Arabidopsis thaliana: one gene and its partner. The protein of the gene in region 1 purifies or fractionates together with the protein of each later gene. This does not show direct contact. Each region holds a gene or a part of one and is shown on either strand. Other genes may lie near its edges.

Region 1 (6,341 bases):
CATTATAAAAAATAATTAGAGTTTTTTCGCATATGCCATAATTTGATTTTTTAAAAACGAATATAAACTGTTCAATACATGAAAAAATATTATAACGGGTGAAAATAGATTTAAGAAAACTTTCTACTGAGTAACGGGTCATAATTTGAAATATTTATATTCAATTTCATACATATTATATTGAAAATTTATAATCTTATATACTACAATAATTAAAAACATATTAGATTTTCTTATATGTATGATGTGATTCAATTTTTAATACAAGCTGGAAAATCTTAGAATTGACGGGTTTAGATCGATATTAATACAAGATGGTATACTACAGGTGAAACTCTTAAATTAGCAATCAAACTACAAGTGTATAATCTTAAACACTAAACAATATACATAATATTAACAAAACATATACAACTCACAGTTTAATATACATTTAAAATCAAATAAAATAATATCATATATTTTTAAATCATCTTTACAATAAAAGTTTTTAGTTTAACTAAAATATAAGTCTACCTGCGGTATACAGCAGGTTAATATCTAGATTATAGGGCTTATTGGATCTAAAGATGGGTCATCAAATATTTCCTAAACTGAAGCAAAATATATTGAATATTCAAATATCTATCTGTTACCAAATTATAAACAAATAAGTTCGTAAAATAATTTAATATTTTATATACGAAATTAATTAAATCTTAATCACATAAAAATTAGCAAAACAAAAAGTATTCAACAATTAAAAAATTATCAAATCTCTGTGTTATATAAGTTTTGATACTATATTCGAATAAAATGTAATATACTTTTTCAATTTGTATTCTTTAACAAATTTAAGCTAACTAATATATTTGCTTTTTTGGTGGATTTGGGTAAAAGTGCATTCAGGTCATATGATACATTTTCCTATTGAATAAATATGGTGCACTCCTATGTTATTAGTTAAAATGTTTAGATTATAATTCAGAGTCATATCATTAATAAAATTAATATTAATAAAATAAATTGCTTTTTGGAAGACGGATTTGAAGGGACGGGTTTTTGAATCAACATTAATAAAAAAGTAAAATATAACTAATCCACCGTTTCAATACGGGTTAAATCTTTAATTTATTATTTTTTAAAACTACTAATATTAAACATATCAAATCATCCTAATTTAGAAAAGATTATATAAAACCAAAAATGTTATGTGGTATGTATAATATTACTATATATAAAATTAAACTATAAAATATAAATGTATTAGAGAATGATACAATTTGCAAAGCTTTTATATATAAAAAATAATTCTTAAATTTTAAAAATTACTACTTTAAAAAAAAAATCATGGGACGGGTAAGAAATTACATAACGGATTTTATTTTAGAATTGGGTTATATGGTGGATGTATTTGAATCAATATTTATAAAATATTAAAATATTATTAATATGATGTTTTAATAGGGGTTAAAACTTCAGTTTTTTAACAATTGTCTCATGGATTCGTGGTATAACGTTACCTAATAACAATTTTAAACTGTAAAATATTAATATTTTATAAAATTAAAATTTGCAAGTTTTAATATATTACTTTAAAAAAAAATCGTCTCGCGGTATACCGCGGTTTAAAATCTAGTAACAAAATATTTGAAGTACACACTAAACCAACTCAGTAATCTAATTAAGTAAATACAGAATGGACATATTTTTTGATAATTTTCAATTATTATTAAAATTCTTCAGTAAACAGATTTTTAATGAAAAAGATGATTAGATGATGTTTTGACGGTTGAAATTGGCTATAGGTTATATAGTTTAGATTTGTTCAGATTGATAAATAGTCTAAAAACCACTTTGAATAAATATTAGGATTGGGCCAAGCCCATAACACAATATTGGGTCAGATTTTAGTACATATTATGGGCCTATGTTAGCAAGATATCACCGAGTACGTAGCAACTTAGATTCTAAAGTCTAAACTAAACAAAATCGTAAATAAACTGAGAAAAAGCCTCCGTCTCCTCCTCTCTCTCTATTCATCAGCCTCAACCTCTCTTTCGTCGTCGACTCAGTTTCCGATTTAGGGTTACCCAATCTTCGCCATGTATCGCACGGCAGCTTCACGAGCCAGGGCTCTTAAGGTACATCCTTATTCCTTTTTACAATTTTACCCTTTTATCCTGTTCCTGGAAGATTCTGGAACGATTTGGTCCGATTCAGTGAATTAACAGATCTGGATTCAAATTCTTTCGTTTGTAGTTACTTCTATAGGTTACAATGATCTCTTCTCTGATTGGTTAAAGTCAATCCATTGGTTTAGATTATAACTCATCTGATTTTCGATTTAAGAGAAATGATTTCGATTATGATTCTTCTTATTGTCCTTTGATTGATACCATAGAAAAGATTGGTTTCTTATTATGTGATGTATTGTGATTGTGTGTTATATAGGGAGTTCTTACTCGTAGTTTGAGACCAGCGCGTTATGCTAGTTCTAGTGCTGTTGCGGAGACGAGTTCGTCAACGCCGGCTTACTTGAGCTGGTTGAGTGGTGGGTCTCGTGCTGCGCTTACTTCATTGGATATGCCTCTACAAGGTGTTTCTCTTCCTCCGCCGCTTGCTGATAAAGTCGAGCCGAGCAAACTTCAGATCACTACTCTTCCAAATGGTCTTAAGATAGCCTCAGAGACGACTCCGGTAAATAAAAGAACGAATTTTAATGTCTGATTTCACTCCTGAAAATGTGAACTGAAGAAAGTTAATGTTGTGTGCAGAATCCGGCAGCTTCGATTGGTTTATATGTTGATTGCGGTTCTATTTATGAGGCGCCTTATTTCCATGGAGCTACACATTTGCTTGAAAGAATGGCTTTCAAGAGCACGTTGAACAGAACTCATTTTCGTCTTGTGAGGGAAATTGAGGCTATTGGAGGCAACACATCCGCTTCTGCGTCTCGAGAGCAAATGAGTTACACTATTGATGCTCTTAAGACCTATGTCCCTGAAATGGTTGAAGTTCTTATTGACAGTGTTAGAAACCCTGCTTTCTTGGACTGGGAAGTGAATGAAGAGGTAGATCATTTTTTTTTTCCTTTTGTATTATTCTGATAACTGTGTTGAAACTTTTATGTGACTTTTAGCCATGTGTCGATGATCTTTTCCGCAGCTACGGAAGATGAAGGTAGAGATAGCGGAACTTGCAAAGAACCCTATGGGTTTCCTCTTGGAGGCCATTCATTCTGCTGGTTACTCTGGTCCATTGGCAAGTCCTCTGTACGCACCGGAGTCTGCTTTAGATAGATTGAATGGGGAGCTCTTGGAAGAGTTTATGACTGTAAGAATGCATGAGCTTTTGTGAACCATCTACGTCTCAGCGATTTCAAAATTACAATCCTATTTATTTGTCTTTTTGACTCAATTTATCTGGGAATTTCAGGAGAATTTCACTGCTGCACGGATGGTATTGGCGGCAAGTGGAGTAGAACATGAGGAACTTTTAAAAGTTGCTGAGCCATTAACTTCTGACCTTCCTAATGTACCACCCCAATTGGCTCCAAAATCTCAGTATGTCGGTGGAGATTTTCGCCAACATACTGGTGGAGAGGTAGGTATTCATGACAGATTTCCCATCACTGGACAAGTGTGTCTGAGATGAAGGTGTTTCTATGTCACATTTCTTATTGAGCTTTTGTTGTTCCATTTTCAGGCTACACACTTTGCGGTTGCTTTCGAGGTGCCTGGCTGGAATAACGAGAAAGAAGCAGTCACCGCCACTGTTCTCCAGGTGTCTAATTGAATTTTACTTTTTGGTTGCTTTAACTTTCACTTGTTTCGATCAAATTTTTTTTACTGGCGAAAAAGTAATAAAATGTAATCTAATTGCTATTAGATGCTTATGGGAGGAGGTGGCTCATTCTCTGCGGGAGGTCCTGGAAAAGGAATGCACTCGTGGCTTTGTAAGTCAAATCTTGTATTTCTTTTTGGCCTATTCTAGTTTTGTTTATTGAACTAGTTCACGGACCATACTCTCGCACTGCTAAGCTATCAGTAATAGTGATACAAGTTCTTATGTCTGGTTACAGATCGCCGTGTTCTAAACGAATATCAGGAGGTTCAGTCATGCACTGCATTCACTAGCATCTTTAACGACACCGGGTTGTTTGGAATCTATGGTTGCTCGGTAAGTTCAACAATCCTGATGTCGCTTTCTATGTTTTTCCTTTCATTACTTATCCACATTTTTCTATTGATGAGATGTGTAACAACGGAATACCAATTTTTGTGGTTAAGCTTAAGAAATATTGACTTTGAGGTTAAAGTGATGTCCAAGTTTTTTTAGCTGAAAAATTCATTGCCGGATATGTGTTTCGGTAATATGTGTTAGCTGATAGGGGATTTGTGTCTTTGAGTGCAGAGTCCTCAATTCGCTGCAAAAGCAATTGAATTAGCAGCTAAAGAACTCAAAGATGTTGCAGGAGGAAAAGGTTTGCAGTTTTGTTTCTTCCATTATCACTTAATCTAACAAGTTGAAACCATTCTCATACATCTATGAAACATTTTCCTTGTGTTCTTATGTTGGACAGTTAACCAGGCACATCTTGATCGTGCCAAGGCAGCCACAAAATCTGCAGTTCTGATGAATTTGGAATCTCGGGTATATTTTTAACTCTCGCACCCTCTACTTACATAAAAATACTTAAATGTTGCCAATTTGTTTAACTTGATCCAAACCATTATATGTTATGAATGTGTTCAAACGGTTTTCCTGTGCCAGATGATTGCAGCAGAAGACATTGGTAGACAGATACTTACATACGGAGAGAGGTATGTATACGCAGAACTTCATTTGAAAACCCGAAGAAGTTCACTAGATCTCCATAGTTTTCTTCAATTCCAGACACATCATAATTTGTGGTTTTTACAAAATCTTGCAGGAAACCAGTTGATCAATTCTTGAAGTCAGTAGACCAACTAACCTTGAAAGACATTGCAGACTTCACCAGCAAGGTTATTTCAAAGCCTTTGACAATGGGTTCCTTTGGAGATGGTAAACAACTTTCACTTTTTTCTTATCAATCTTTTACAAACCAAGATCTAGTGTCTTAATATTGTTTATCGTGTTTTTGTTTTTGGCAGTGTTGGCTGTTCCGAGCTATGACACAATAAGCAGCAAATTTCGTTGAAGCAAAACAAACAATTTGCCAAATCAACAATATTTTGGGACTTGTAAAATAAAGAAGATCTTGGGGAGAAGAAGACCCAACCAATTTTAATTTTAATTTTTTTTTTTACAATTACAGTTTCGTATTTTTATGAAATGGATTTTGTTTCCATCGACAGATATAAATGACTGGATTTTGTCCGGTTTGTCTCTCCAATTTTCAGGAGTATTTGTATTCCAATAAATAATCTTTTACTACGTGTAATGCAAACAACTTCAGTGGTACAATTAGAACTGTGTCAGTTTTTATGCAAGTGTTCTCAATTTTGCATATATGTTACCGGAGAATGTTGAGTAGACGTAAGGAACGGGGTTACTTTGCGGAGATAGTGAAATCAGATAGCTGCTTGGAGAAAGTGAAGTCTCGGCTTCTTAATGCAGTGCGGTTTTAGCGATAAAGCAGAATGAATTAAACTTGGATTTGGAGAATGGAAAGAGTTTCCAGGGAGGAGAAGGTAAGAAAAGACTAAGCGTGTCTTGCGGGGATTGATCAGGAGGAGGCAAAGGAAGGCAAAATGGGACGAGGAGGAACAGTAAGAAGCGAGAGTTCCGGGATTCCAAGTTTGTTCATGGTGGTAGGAGAGGGATGAGCAAGCATAGCACTGTAAAGAGTTCGATCATCTACAACTTCAACACTTTACAGTTATAAACTTTCGTTTATGTTTTTAGAAAGTGTTATTTTTTTGGGATAATTGTAAACTTCGAACGATGGATAATTTAAAAATGAATAGAAATTGTAATGTAAAAAAACACACGAAATCAGTGCTTTTTGTCTTAATTAAAAAGACCAGCTTGCAAAGTCACGCAACGTCGAAGCTCTAACTTTCTCTTCTAAAAGTGGCTTACTTTGGTCGCAAAGACACAAATTTTAAGGAAGAAAAAAAAACAAAACAAAAGCCAGATAATTTACTTGGGAGAAATAGGTTCGATAATTCGATTTTTTCGATGAATTAGAGTAACCTTGGGAGCAAAATGCGACCACGCTTCGTCATCTTCTACACAATTCCAAGAGAAACGAGTAGAAATCGTCAGTTTGGGATATTTTGTGGTTTTATGATTTATAGGAACGGGTTGAATCCTTAAACTGTTGAATCCTTGATATTTGTTTGAAGTACTCTTCATCTACTTTCCTCACAAAA
Region 2 (5,517 bases), on another chromosome or scaffold:
AGCAAAATGTATGGTCCAACACATAATATACAGTATTAAATTTTGACGGCCGGCAACTATAGGCGAAGAAACACACACGTTGTTGAATAGAAGCAATGTGAATATATCTTTACCCACATAGATGCATACACATAGGTCCATATGATAAGTTAAATGGTATGTTTATTTCCCCAATTTTCTTTTATTTTTAGTTGAGATTTTTATATTATATGAACGCATGGGTCCTACGTAAACACACAATATGCTGTTTCACCTTATTCGAAGGCTCTTATTGGTCCTCGTAATCTCCGACCAATCAAATTGCACTATGTGTCCTCCATTTCTCACTTGAAAAGCTGTTATGTCATGACTCATCAAACATTCATACTTACATATGCATGTCTACGTTGAGCACGAAAAAAGAAGAAGGAATTATGCGCATCATTAGCATGCCGATATATGTGAGTAAACGAATAAGAAATGTTAGCGATCTAATGATATTTGCAGACATAATATAGTTGTTAAAAAAAAGAAAAAGACTAATGTATTAATTAATTGTTAAATAAAACAAGCAAAAACTGAAACGAGTAGAGTTTTTATTTTTTAATAGATTTTATCAAAAAAAAAAGACTGCGTCTGCATGGAGTAATTAATACTGCGTTGAATTATAATTTTGTTTAGGTGTTTTGAATAGTTTTTTTTAATCTATATTTTCACAACAACTTTTGTTAATATAGTCCAGATGGATGCCACATAACAAAAGGTTTTTTTCTAGTAACAAAACAGGATTAGTAACTAGGCATACACTGATACACATTCGGTTCGGTTCAATTCTTCGGGTTTTGGGTTATTCGTTTTTAGCTTTTTAGCATCCATAAGGAAACCGAATGTTTTTCAGTTCAGTTAGTCTTCTTTCTTTGTTTTGTGTTACAAATTAAGCGAGCAAGTTAGCTCTCCAGTTTATAATCTCTCTTTGTTGTCACTTTTTGGTATGTAACTTACTAACTTGTGTTGTTGTCATATGAAGAGAAGAATGGGGGACCAAGGATGAAGGTAAGGTTCGGTTCTTTGAGTATTTTGGTTTCTTTTTGGGTACTTCAAGTAAAAATATATAAACCGTAAAAATATCCAAACCTTTGGAGGCTGCTGGTGATGCTTTAATTTATTCCAAATTGTTGAAATATTGTTGAAAACATAGTTTAAAACAAGTATTTCTAGGTCTTGTGGTACATAAAGTGTTCCAGGGATTTTTTCTCGCTGAAGTTCGATGTTTTGGGAAAAAGAGAGTACAAAGCTTGGTTCCCGCAGTTAAGGGCCATTTGACCGTGAGTCTTAGTATTATTTTCCTTTGTGATTGTGGTAGATTGCTTGTTTGTTCTTTTTAAAATTTCTCTCTGACTTTTTGTCGGATATGCGAGACATATGTTTAGTAGATGAAGCATAGTTTCTGACTCGGTCGATGGTTAAGTTACTTAACTTAAGTATGATTCCACTTGATAGTAAAATGTGATTATTCCAGCTAATCACGCATATCACATCAGAATGATTAATGGTCCTTAGATCAAAAATTATCCACAGTTGTAATTAACATCTCATTATCAAGATCATATATTAATAGCACAAGTGATTAGAAGTGAAGCTTCCTCCTAAGAAGTTTCAAAAGTTGTGATTGCCAAAACTTTTTTTAAAGCAAAATCGTGTTTTCAAATTTTCACTGTTTGTTTATATATATAATATGAAATGATTAGACCATTAAGCCAGTTTGAAGTACAAACATTGTCACTAGTATGATAATTCAAACATTTTTTTAATTATCTCCATATTGATTTTTTAAAATCCAACCAAGTCTACTTCTGGTGATGTATGATCCTAAAGTCATATGTTTTACGTTGCATTCGGAAGATTTTTCTTCTCAAAGATAATAAAGATCCACCAAGCTTTTAAACTTTTCAAGTGTTATCTACTTCGACATTTTCTGGGCTCAAGCAGTACGTTGTTGGCCCATTAAGGCCCAAATAAGTAAAACTGTGGTCGTGTGTCTAGCAGCCGCTGTGTCATCGTGGAACTCCCATTTTCTCTCTTTTACTTGTTCGTTCCCAAACTCTTCTCCCTCGATCGTCTCCGTCGCCGATCTCGTTTCTTCATTTTCCGGTGAGATTCTCTCTCTATTTCTCTGTATATCTCGTATTCGAAACCTTCGTTTTCTTCTTTGACATTTGATTGATCAGAGTTATCTATATTCGTCGGATCTGTGTAGACTCAAATTTTCTAGGGCTTGTTCGCTTTTGTTTATTCGTATACGTGTTGTGAAATCGCATTTTCACTGAATCAGTATTCTGATTCAATTTCTTTGTTTCTTCAGCGTGTTGATTGGTACAAAGGTTTAATCAAATGGTTGGAGGAGGAGTTATCCAGCAAATTCTTAGGAGGAAGCTTCACTCCCAATCACTTGTGAGATTTTTTCCAGTCTTAATTTTACATTCTCTTCATTTCTATTTTGATTTACGATTTCAGCTTGGGATCTGTTTTTAAGACATTTTTTTCGGTTCTGTGGTTAAAGATTTGTGTTTTGTGACACTGATGCTCATTAGCTAATGATTTCTTTGTGAAATTTTTCATTTTTTGGAACATAAGACAGGAGACAATGATTTATGTATAGCTTCTGCTTCAATGTCAAATCCTAGTAGAATAGTAGAATGCAGCAATCTTTTGAAAGTCCATTTGGTTAGCATATAACTGAGTTGGTTTGCGGCGAAGTTTTGACTGAGCATTGGTTTTGTGTTATCCTGCAGGCAACTCCGGTTTTGTCTTGGTTTTCTTCGAAGAAAGCTCATGAGGATGCTGGTTCTTCTGGTGTAAGAGCACTTGCCTTGTTGGGTGCTGGTGTTACAGGACTGTTGAGTTTTTCTACAGTAGCATCTGCTGATGAGGCTGAACATGGATTGGAGAGTCCAGAGTACCCTTGGCCTCATGATGGCATTCTTAGCTCATATGACCATGCTTCGTGAGTATTGTCACCACTCTCTCATCTTCTTGTCTGGTTAATAGCATCATTTTATCATTTTCTTATAGATTTTTTTTTGCTTTTATAAGTTAACGTCCTTTCAAGCAATTTTTCAATGAAAAAGGAAATTTTCTTAGAATTGTAAATTTCTTTGAATCAAAAAGTCTATCATGCGTGAATCAAGCGTTTGTATGAGTCTTTGTATAGAAGGAAAAGAAATCATACATAAAATAAGGGGCTTGTTGCTGCCTTTTTTTAATAAAACGATTCAAGATCACCGAAGTCATGTCTAAACCTAAAGAAAGTGACTATCCTGCTACCCTAATATTAGACTGTGAAACTTCAGTGAAATTTTTGTACTGTATGAATTATTGAAAGGTTGATGTTGTATGAGCAGGATCCGTCGTGGGCATCAAGTTTATCAGCAAGTCTGTGCATCATGCCATTCAATGTCTCTGATCTCATACCGAGACTTGGTGGGTGTCGCCTACACAGAGGAAGAGGCAAAGGCAATGGCAGCTGAAATCGAGGTAGTAGATGGACCTAATGATGAGGGTGAGATGTTCACCCGCCCTGGTAAACTCAGTGACCGGTTTCCTCAGCCATATGCAAATGAATCAGCTGCAAGGTTTGCTAATGGTGGAGCGTATCCTCCTGATCTAAGTCTTATAACTAAGGTCTGCTGCTGCTACTTTACTTTAACTGAACATCTGTAGCAAACTTGTGTTTTGTGTTTTAAATAGTTTTAATGTTCTGCCTTCCAGGCACGTCACAATGGTCCAAACTATGTCTTTGCGCTTCTGACTGGTTACCGTGATCCCCCTGCTGGCATATCGGTAAGTTTCTCTCATTTTCCACATTGAACTTCTTCGAATTCAAAGTGCTGGTTATGAAAAATCCGATGATAACTGTACAGATTAGAGAGGGGTTACACTACAATCCTTATTTCCCTGGGGGAGCAATTGCTATGCCGAAAATGCTCAATGATGAAGCTGTTGAGTATGAAGATGGTGTCCCCGCCACAGAGGCACAGGTTATTTTTCCTCCACTTAAAATATAAGAACATAAATCTTTATGCCTTATGGTACTGTCCTTTCTCAGTGTCATGATATAAACTTTACTTTACGGTGCAGATGGGTAAAGATATTGTATCATTCTTGGCCTGGGCAGCTGAACCAGAAATGGAAGAGAGGAAACTGGTAGGTTTATCTTTCTCTGTTCGCTGGTGAACATTGTATTTTCTCCCTAGACTATGCAATTAATACTAGATTTAGTTTATGATCGATCAAGTTGACTTAGAGAACCAATTGTTGTACCAAGTGTGAAGTGCTACTAGTTCTTGGTCTGCTACTAAGATAATAACATTTAGATATGCTGTGAACACAGTTTGACTCGTTTTGCAGACACAAACCTCAGCTTCCAGACCGATACAAAGAATTGACTTTTTTTTGAGGTTACATTTTACATGGCGGTTAATGTTGGTTTCACTATTTGCAGATGGGTTTCAAATGGATATTCCTACTCTCTCTCGCTCTTCTCCAAGCTGCTTACTACAGGCGACTAAAATGGTCGGTTCTCAAGTCCCGCAAGCTGGTTCTTGACGTGGTTAACTAAAGCGCCGCTGAAAAGCTTTTGCATTGGCCTGGCCACACACAGTCGTATTTTCAACAAAGGATGTTAAATAGAGAAGAGCCTTTCTCTGGGTAATAACGTATCATCATTTTTATGTGTCATAAAAATCTTTGATGAGACCAGTTCTCACCTGAAGGTGAAAAGACCTCATCGTTCTTCTTTTTCCTTCGATTATTACTAGAGAGTTTTATGAGGATAATCACGAAAACTTGTTTTTTTCGCCTCATAATAATCACACATGATTTTGAGATTATATCATTTGTTATGTTTTTCCTCTTGTCTCAATAAAAAATAACTTTGTACTCTGATTTTGTTGTCTATTTTCGGCATTTCTTGCATCTGGCTTTGGTTGCATGAGGAGAATTTATTTCAGGTATAACAAAAACACAATTAATGGTACTCATTTTTATTTGTATGGTATATATGGATATTATAACAGAAAAGTAGTAATAATAATCGACAAAATTTCAACACATTATACTGAAAAACTTTTACAAATGATTTTCTCCAATTGCCCTGGTAAATATATAATTGCTTATTCTTCTTCTCTGGAATAAATATCACCTAATGACCTCCAAATTTATAACCTATGATCAAATGTAACTATAAATAGAGAGTTTTACTCTTATGGTCGGTCTTACCATTACGAACTTCCTTTTGCATTCCCGATCAAGCTCTCACTGGCTTTTGCAGAACAGCTGAGAGATAAACTTGTGCATCAGCCTTCTCTCCAATAACCCATTTAAGCTTCTTATACCCAAACCTCTCAATCATACGTGTAAGTTCTTTCTTCTTCTCATCATTAGCACAATAGAAGTTATCCAACCAGAACAATCCACGGGGTTTCAAAACCCGATCAAGATCGAACATCAAGAACTCTAGCTTCTCCGCTTTACCCTCAA

The links.
Region 2: the proteins of AT1G51980 (region 1) and AT3G27240 fractionate together in Arabidopsis thaliana (co-fractionation; one large-scale study listed by BioGRID). This does not show direct contact.

The regions. Positions count from the first base shown.
Region 1 is NC_003070.9:19,322,515-19,328,855, reverse strand, and holds AT1G51980 (Insulinase (Peptidase family M16) protein), read left to right. Parts: upstream 1-1,937; 5' UTR 1,938-2,084; coding exon 2,085-2,123; intron 2,124-2,433; coding exon 2,434-2,679; intron 2,680-2,756; coding exon 2,757-3,053; intron 3,054-3,147; coding exon 3,148-3,315; intron 3,316-3,417; coding exon 3,418-3,585; intron 3,586-3,687; coding exon 3,688-3,765; intron 3,766-3,870; coding exon 3,871-3,937; intron 3,938-4,063; coding exon 4,064-4,161; intron 4,162-4,395; coding exon 4,396-4,465; intron 4,466-4,564; coding exon 4,565-4,635; intron 4,636-4,755; coding exon 4,756-4,805; intron 4,806-4,915; coding exon 4,916-5,028; intron 5,029-5,117; coding exon 5,118-5,164; 3' UTR 5,165-5,801; downstream 5,802-6,341. UniProt on the Arabidopsis thaliana protein: Substrate recognition and binding subunit of the essential mitochondrial processing protease (MPP), which cleaves the mitochondrial sequence off newly imported precursors proteins.
Region 2 is NC_003074.8:10,055,224-10,060,740, reverse strand, and holds AT3G27240 (Cytochrome C1 family), read left to right. Parts: upstream 1-1,967; 5' UTR 1,968-2,130; intron 2,131-2,341; 5' UTR 2,342-2,370; coding exon 2,371-2,430; intron 2,431-2,771; coding exon 2,772-2,983; intron 2,984-3,380; coding exon 3,381-3,660; intron 3,661-3,747; coding exon 3,748-3,819; intron 3,820-3,899; coding exon 3,900-4,016; intron 4,017-4,116; coding exon 4,117-4,182; intron 4,183-4,480; coding exon 4,481-4,597; 3' UTR 4,598-5,011; downstream 5,012-5,517. Other genes in the region: AT3G27230 (S-adenosyl-L-methionine-dependent methyltransferases superfamily protein), read right to left, coding at 5,285-5,517. UniProt on the Arabidopsis thaliana protein: Component of the ubiquinol-cytochrome c oxidoreductase, a multisubunit transmembrane complex that is part of the mitochondrial electron transport chain which drives oxidative phosphorylation.